Cricetulus griseus: one gene and its partner. Each later gene encodes a partner of the first gene's protein in a complex. Links are inferred from orthologs where the notes say so. Each region holds a gene or a part of one and is shown on either strand. Other genes may lie near its edges.

What was found.
Region 2: the proteins of Samhd1 (region 1) and Dcaf1 are in contact, whole or in part, in a crystal structure (PDB 4CC9), measured with the Homo sapiens proteins. The link is inferred for Cricetulus griseus from reciprocal best matches to the Homo sapiens genes SAMHD1 and DCAF1. Residues at the interface, in NP_056289.2 of Homo sapiens: Ser616, Arg617, Val618, Gln619, Lys622; in NP_001336097.1 of Homo sapiens: Asn1090, Glu1091, Asp1092, Thr1114, Gln1116, Asn1132.

The regions. Positions count from the first base shown.
Region 1 is NC_048599.1:22,436,205-22,440,617, reverse strand, and holds the start of Samhd1 (deoxynucleoside triphosphate triphosphohydrolase SAMHD1), read right to left. Parts: upstream 3,037-4,413; 5' UTR 2,937-3,036; coding exon 2,729-2,936; intron 1-2,728.
Region 2 is NC_048597.1:215,038,412-215,042,752, reverse strand, and holds the start of Dcaf1 (DDB1- and CUL4-associated factor 1), read right to left. Parts: upstream 2,872-4,341; 5' UTR 2,733-2,871; intron 1-2,732. UniProt on the Homo sapiens protein: Acts both as a substrate recognition component of E3 ubiquitin-protein ligase complexes and as an atypical serine/threonine-protein kinase, playing key roles in various processes such as cell cycle, telomerase regulation and histone modification.

The DNA of each region.
Region 1 (4,413 bases):
GCCACCACGTGGGTGATGGAAATCAAACCAGGGTCCTCTGAAGGAGCAACAAGTGCTCTAAACCACTGAGTCATCTTTCCAGCTCATCTATATCTTTCTTAATGGCTACTTTGTATTTTACAATATACACAAATTCTAATGCATTTTATATGTGTGTGCACTTGTGTGTACTTGTCGGAAGCTGGAGGTCAATGTCAGGTATTTTCCTTAATTACTCCTCTGCCTGGTATTTTTCTAGGATTTATTCATTTTTTATTTATGTTTATTCGTGCTTGTATCAGTTTATGTGTACAATTCAGATAGAGTGCTCAGGGAGCTACTTATCTCTGCTTCCTCACCTCTGGGGTTATAAGTATGCACCATTAAACCCAACTTTACGTGTGGGTGCTGGAATTCAGAGCTCATGTCTTCATGTCTGCATGGCTACTGACAGAGCCATCTCCCTGGCCCCTGTTGTAACATTTTATAAAATAAAATATATCCGGCATGGGGGTATGTGTGACTCAGTGATAGAGTCTACACATAGCACGAACAAAGCCCTAGATCTCATCCTCCATATTATATACTTACACACAAAAATTCCCCTTCCCCCAAAATCTTGTAAAATGAATATAGCAAAACTTCATACAAAGAATATACTTAATAAATGTTAGTCATCACTATTTGCTATAAGTCAAAAGGCATTGCCAAACAGTCCATGGTTGAGATAATGGACATGTCTATCAACTTTATTGAAATACATATTTCATCTACTAATAATCTTTTCTAATTATTAAATTAAAACCCAGTATATTTTAAAAATTACTATTAGGTTTGGAACTGCTTTACTTAAGTTTATTGGTAGGTTGTTAATGGTCTCTTGATATTTTACTCATTATTCTACAGGATAGATTTTCCCGCCATGGCTTTTAGTTGATTTTCTAATTTTGGTTATGTTCTCCATATGTAGCCCAGGATGGGCTAAAGACCTAAGGCTGGGACCGGAAGTCTTGATTATTTTGCCTCAGCCTCCCAAAGAGTAGGATTACAGGGATATGTTCTCCTGTCACTTTTATTGGGAACACTAGTTAAGAAATAACCGGAATGAATTCTGGAATCTAAAGACCTAACCTCTAAAAATTCCAACTCTGCATCTTTTGTCTAGTGGTGTGACTTTGGAAAGCTACTTAACATTTTTGGATATAAAAACATCATCTAGGGCTGGAGAGATGATGGCTTAGCAGTTAAGAGCACACACTTCTTTTGTGTACCTAGAACTAACTTTAGGCCACTCACAACAGCCTTTAACACACCAGCTCCAGAGGGTTGGATGGTGTCTTCTGGCTTCTGTAGGCACTACACTCATGTGATACATTCTCCATCTTCACCCCATTGAAAAGACAATCAAAAATAAAGCCAGAAGAGATGAGTCAGAGGTTAAGAGCACTCACTGCTCTTGCAGAGGGCTCAGACTCAGTTCTCAGCACCCCCATGGAAGCTCACAACCACCTGTAACATCAGTTCTAGAGGGAGCTTTACCCTCTTCTGGCCTCAAGGACACCAGGCACACACACGGTGCATATACACATATGCAGGCAAACCACTCACACCTATAAGATTAAAATAAAATATTGCCAGGTGTGGTGGCGCACGCCTTTAATCCCAGTACTCAGGAGGCAGAGACAGGTGGCTCTCTGAGTTCGAGGCCATCATGGTCTGTACATAGAGAGTACCGGGACAGCCAGAGCTACATAGAGACACTGTCTTAGTACTCCGCCCCCGCAAGTTACCTTCCTGTAGAGGGTGAAGTGGGGAAGGGAAAAAGAGAAACCCGAGTTTCTGCATTTAAACTATCTTTATGTCCTGAACTTTAAACTTCTCACTCTGTCCTTCAATTAGGCATACGGGGCTCCGCCCCACAAGAAGTAAAGTTTACTGAATTTGCAAATCATAACCACCGAAGAGCCACGTTCCCAGCGAACACCTCATGGGATCATGCAAGGGGTTAGGCTTCACATCTACCACAAACAAGTTGAGTAGATTACAAGTGTTTGACTGGAGCATGAGCAAATGTCAGAAGAGTCACTTAAAATTCTCAGCCTGTACCCTCCCCTTTGCGTGGCCAAGTTGTGGAATGCTGGGGTTTCAGTGGCCAACTGAGTAAGTTGTTCTTATTTTGGAAGAGAAATTGATCAGTGGCACTCGGCAAATGCAGTCAGCACAAACTGAGCCCTACTGGGATGCTATGGCAGTCAGTGAGAATCTGGAGATTAACCAACTTCCCTCCCCTTTAAGCAAAACCCCAAAATCCGGGAACGGCTTAAGAAGCGAAACTTAAAAGCGCCAAAACCTCTCTTGGGGTCAAGTGTTTTGGGAGCTGCGGTTAGCACAGGAGGTTGTCCCCAGCCTGGCAAGCCTGAAAGACCGCAAGCGGCTGCCGGAGGTCTGGGGGGCAAATCTAAGAAGGGCGGGGATCTCTCCTGTCAGAAGTGACAAGTTCCCGAAGGCACCCATCCACCAGAAGAAGACGCAAACCTCCCAGGGCCCCTCAAAGCTCCCAGAGCCAGCACCTTCCTATGGGCTCACACTTGGCCTGCGCCCACCTCGGGCAGCCCGCCTGGACGGCTGGCGTCGGGGCGCCTCCCGCCTCAGGTCCGGTTCCCGCCGCGAGCCGCCCCCCGGGGCCTCCGATCCGTGAGCCTCCCCCTGCGGATGCCTCTCGCGTGGGTGCTCCCCTCAGCCCCGTTACCTTTGAAGCTGTCCAGCACTTTCTTGTCTTGGAAGCCGCATCCCTTTAGGTAGGAGCACACGTCCTCCACTTCCCAGGTCTGGAGGTCGATGTGGAGCTCGGAGCCGGGAGACGCGCTGGCCGCTGCAGGAGGGGTTCTCTGTGGCGTTCTTGGGCTGCTGTCGCAGCGAGGCCGCTTAGCGGGCTGCTCGGGATCTGCTCTCCTCATGGCTACCTCTGACAGTGTGTGCAGCCAACTTAAGTACCGCGGCACCCGGCTCGCGCGCAGCCGCACTGACGGCACAGCCCCGGAGGCAAGTCCATTCAGCAGCGCCATGCGGGCCTACTGCGCAGGCGCGCTGGCCATCGGCCCCCGGAGTTTGGCCTCCCTGGGGCACTAGCGCCCGGCCCATTGCGCAAGCGCAATGATATGTGCGTTCGCCCTCAACCCGCCCCAGTGTTTCTCCGAAAGGGCGGAGTTATTAGAGAAGCAAAACTCAGAGCTGTGGTTAAGCAGGAGTGAAGGCTGTATGTAGTCCAGGCCAGGCTAAGAGGGCACCTGGGGCTAATGAAGCTTCCACCACACTCCAGATTAAAGGGTCTTCTGGTGGACTGCAGGTACCTTCCTCTAAACAGGTACTTTTTGCTGGGTTTCAAACACTCCAAGCTGTAAGCTTGTAAAAAGTACCTAAAAGGCAACGAAGCGGCCAGTACCATTGCAGTGCAGAAAACAAGGGACAAAGGACTGGCCTAACTGGAAGATCCTGCAATGATTGCCAGCTCTGTCCTTTTGCATTTCACAAATTCACAGTTGGCTGACAGTGGACCACCCTAAGATGCCAGATTTATTTCCAAATAGACAGGAGTTTTACTAATTACTGGTTAGTGCCCAAATGATGGGCATTTTCTTTTGCTTTAAGTCATTTTGGCGCAAGACTCAAGCTTCCTCATAAACCCTTATCCACACATTATTAGTACAATGACCACTGCTAATAAAAAAGTCAACACCTTTTCAGAAACCAAGACACATCTACAGCTAGGTTATTTTAACACCAAGCAGTACGAATTAGATGCTTAGTGGTGAGTTCAACAGCTGCAGGTGACCTTGCTTAGGCATAGAATACTAGCTTGAGGCCCAGTGGGTAATCCCCAGCACCAAAAGAAAGCAAACAGGAAATCTGATAAACTGAAGTATTCTTAGCAAACAAAGTGCCCTGTTGTGTTCAGGCCACTTGTTCTAAAGACTTCACAAATACTGACACATTTAACAAATTTCAGGTGTAAGAAAGTTAAGTACAAAGATGGGGAGGAGGAAAGGAAGAGCTAAGAAATGACAGACAGCTTCTAAAGTCCAAGCTCTAAATAACTTGTTGGCCCAGAAAAACATGCTCCATCCTGTCAACAGAGTATTTGGTGAAAACATCCCACAGTTGTCAAGACTTATGGAACTGAAACAGAGGGTAAAAGAGATGTATTTTATGTCCATGATGGATGACTTGTGATTGTGTGTGTGTGTGTGTGTGTATGTGTGTGTGTGTGTGTGTGTGTGTGTTGAGACAGGGTTTCTCTGTGTAGTCCTAGCTGTCGAAGAACTGGCTTTTGTAGACCAGTCTGGCCTTGAACTCAGAGATCTGCCTGCCTCTGCCTCTGCCTCTCAAGTGCTAGGACTAAAGGCACCACCACCACGGCCCAGCTTTGATTTGTGC
Region 2 (4,341 bases), on another chromosome or scaffold:
CAGTCTGGTGATAGTGCATGTCTTTAATACCAGCATAGGCAGGCAAATCTGAGTTTGAGGCCAGTCTGGTATAGAGTGAGTTACAGGACAGCCAGGACTACACAGAGAGAAACAATGTCTTGAAAAAACAGCCAGGAGGTGGTGGTGCATGCCTTTAATCCCAGCACTCCATAGGCAGATCAAGTTTGATCTCTGATTTCGAGGCCAGCCTGGTCCATAGAGCACTTCCAAGACAACCAGGGCTATACAGAGAAACCCTGTCCTGATCAACTTTTTTTTTAATGTGCATTGGTGTTCTTGTCTGCGTAAGGGTATCGGGTACCCTGGAACCGGAGTTACAGACAGTTGTGCGCTGCCATGTGGTTGTTAAGAAAGAACCCAGGTCCTCTGGAAGAAAAGCCAATGCTCTGAACCACTGAGCCATCTCTCCAGCCCCAAAACCCTGTCTTGAAAAACAAACAAAAAGATAATGTGCCAAAGAATTTAGAAGTGATGTGCCTACAACCTGAAGTAATTCCACAAAATAAACACAGAGACAGAATATACAACAAAGCGGTTAACTGGTGAAACTAAAGATAATCACTTCATTTAGCTTTTCTACCGAAAGGGATTTTTGGTAAGATCCTGACTCAAAAATCAAGCTGGGCCGGGTGGTGGTGGCGCATGCCTTTAATCCCAGTACTTGGGAGGCAGAGGCAGAGGCAGAGGCAGGCGGATCTCTGTGAGTTTGAGTCCAGCCTGGTCTACAAGAGCTAGTTCCAGGACAGCCTCCAAAGTCACAGAGAAACCCTGCCTTGAAATCCCCCCCAAAAAGAAAAATAGGTTCTATTCTACACTATACTTAATAGAAGATTCAGCAAAACTGTCCCCAAATATAAGATAAAGTCTGTTAAAATAGATCCTGTGCCACGAAGAAAAAGAGGGAAGACAGCACTCCTTCAGGAAAGTTGCAACCCTTACTTAAAAGAAGTAAAAGGTGTAGGTAAATGATAAGGCCTGTCCCTGAGACTCTAAATTCAATTCCTAGCACAAAGAAAGAAGGAAGGGAGGGAGGGAGGGAGGGAGACAGGCAGGTCAACTTGAGCTTGTGGTGCACACGTGTATCACAGAACTTATAAAGCTGAATGAGGCACATTCACAAGTCTGAGACCAGCCTGGGTTACAGAGACTCTATTTCAAAAGCCATAAGGGAGGAAGAGAGCCCTGGGTCAATCCCCAACACCACAGGAGAAAGGGGAGAAATTCCGAATTTACAGCTTCAAGCAAAACCTTAACACTATGACACATAATCACATAACTATTACTGTCCTGTGTACTTTATGAAAACAACAGTAGTTATAAACCAACTCCAATCACTTCAATTTAACATGGAGCTCGTTTTATTACATTTTATTAAATTTAATAACTGAACAAGACAATGTAAATAAAATGTTATGCTCAAGAAATGTGTAAAATTTCCTCATATTACCTTAACACCCAAAAATATACCCCTACTCGAAAACTGTTAATGAAAAACTGCTATATACAAACACAAATCTTGACATCTGGAAGAAATATACTGTATCAACTCCTAAAGTCAAAACAGGTTTATAAAAGCCTTAAAGGTAAATGCCAGGAAACACGGGCGGAGGGGGTGGGGGGAAGCCTTCAAGTGATGCTACCAATGAACCTCTCCAACTACAGCATTAACAAAGGGCTTGCAACAGGATGATAGTGCTACAATAAATTAATAATTAAAACACGCAGAATAGTTAAAAGGCTTCACAGGAAAGAGATACAAGAAACTGGCAGACGGGGGCGTTAATAGTGCACTGGGGGGGGGAGGCAGAGGCAGGCAAATCTCCGAGTTTGAGGCCACCCTGGTCTACAGAGCCAGTTCCAGGAAGAAGAGAAAGAGAGCCAGGAGTGGGGGAGACAGACAGAGGGGGGCAACAGGAGGCAGACAAAAACGAGTGGTAGTCATTTATTCAAAACTCTAAGAGTTAATTCCTCAACAAATGGAAAAAACAAAGAGCTATCACTGCAGTAAGAGCAAACAGACCGACACCTTCTAGAAACAGGACAGAGCATGGCAAACGGCCCGCCCACCAGAAAACAACTAAGAGCCCTGGGTACGAGCTCCCAAGAAGCCTGGCAGGCAACCTTAGGTCGGCACCCACACACCTCTCTGCCCCTCGGCTCACCACTGCATGGTAGGAGTAGGAGGGGCTCCCGGAAAGCTCCTCCCCCTAGCCCTGTCCAAGAGCAGGGCGGGTGCAAGTGGGAGGTGGCACGAAGCCGGAGGAGGGGAAAGCCCGCCCAGGTGACTGAAGCCGGAGGCGGGGACACAGTCCGGGAAGGGGTCCACCGTGCGGCAGGGGAGAGGGAGCCCCTCGGCTCGTCAGAGACTCGGAGCGGACCAGAGAAAATGAAAGAGCACCTCCTTCAGGTAGAGGCGGGCACATCCCTGCCCCCCACTCCGGGCGGAAGAGTTACTCTAAGGAAGCTTCTTTGGAAGACTGGAGGAAGAGCCTGAGGCCCCGCCCCCGGGCCAGGGATCAGGAGGAGGAAAGTCCTGTCAGGCCCCAGGCCCAGCCTCCCGGGTGGTCCCGCCCGCCCCCTCGCCGCCGCCGGCAGCCGAAGCAGGTGCCGCCCCTCCCCCAGCGAGGCGCCCACTCTCCCGCCCAGCCGGCCGCGCGCTCGCTCTCCTCGCGCTCCCCACAGAGAGTCGGCTCCTTCCTGTCCCCGCTTACCTTCGCGGGCGGCTCCGCCGCTTCTCCCCGCACCCCTCCAGCGGCCACAGTTCACACACACCGCCTCTGGTCCCGCACTCACTCTCCCTCACTCACACACACAGCGCGACCACGGCTCCTGAGCGGCCCACATATTATGCGTCACTCGCATGTTACGTGCAGTGCGCGCGCGCGCGCGCTTGGCGCGAGGCTCGCGAGCTGGGAGGCGGGGGGAGAACGTCGGCGCGAGCGGAGGAACATCATAGGGCTCCTGGGAAATGAAGTTCCGCTTTTAAGGGCGGGAAGGGCGGGGGGATAGAAAGACCAGAAAGCACCTCCCCAGCGCATTGGCTTCTGGGATCCGTAGTTTTCTGTATTATACGTAAATTGCTGTGTATTTATTGGCTGTTTCCAAAAGCGGAAGCGAAAAGTGAAGGAAGGAATCGATCTTTCTAAAGCCCGGCAGACTACCGCTGCCTGATAACTTTGCCAATACGTAATTCTACCCTGTGTAATCGGTAAGGCTCAGTAGTACTGGTATTGACACATAAGCCTTATAATATGCCAAAAATGAATCTCGCACAAATGTATCAAAAGTTGCAGTACTCATTAATAAGAAACTCACTGGTTTTCCTTTGTCTTTCTGTTCAAAACATACTCGGCAAGAATCAAAACAGCATTCGTTGCTACGTATTTTATGTGAGGAAGAAAAATTAAAAAAAAAAAAAAGTCTTCAGCCAAGACTTGACTAACCACAGAGGTCATCTAATTCAATTTCTTAATTTTAAAGTTGAGGAAAGTGAAACCCAGAGTAAATGACTCGCCTAATATCACCAACCAAAGTGAAGAAGCATCAGGGGATCTGACTTTGACCCACAGATCCTATGTGAGGGCATGAAAGATAAACTCCACAATTGAGCAGAATCTTGACAAGACCTACCCAGACGTCAGGCCTGATGCAACTCATTATTGCTCTTGGAATTCTGAGTGTGTTCTGTGCGTTTCCATAGAGTTCTCGCAGTCAATACTTTCACATGGAGATTGTAAGACACTGTGGACCTATTGTTGTGAACAGATTCTATGGCTGTTAAGCCAGTATCAGCCAGGCAGTAGTGGCATTTGTGAGTTCAGGGCCAGCCTGGGCTACAGAGCAAGTTCCAGGACAGCCAGAGCCAGGGCTACACAGAGAAACCCTGTCTTGGGGGGAGGGAGGGAGGGAGGGAGGAAAGAGAAGAAGCCAGTATCCCAGATTTCAAACTCAAGTCCACCACCACCCTATCCCACCCACCTGAGTTCTCCCCCTTACTTGTGTAGCTTAGAGTAACAAGCAGCTAAAAGTAAAAATTCTAGAGGGTGATGGCAGTGCCACAGGCATGTAGCATGTCTTCAGTCACTCCTCTTGCCACAGAACAGCTTTCCCCTGTGCTTCTGAAATCTCTGGTCTCTTGCTGTGATGACCATTATCATTCAATTTGTCTTTACAGCAGGCCTGGCTTGCATCAAGACCAGGGCAGGTAATGCCAGCCAACTTTATGGAGGAGAAATCTGAAGGAGTAAGGTTGAATCAAGATACTGAGTTTTGTTGGACATGATGTCACATGCCTTTAATCCCAGTACTCATGAGGTTAAG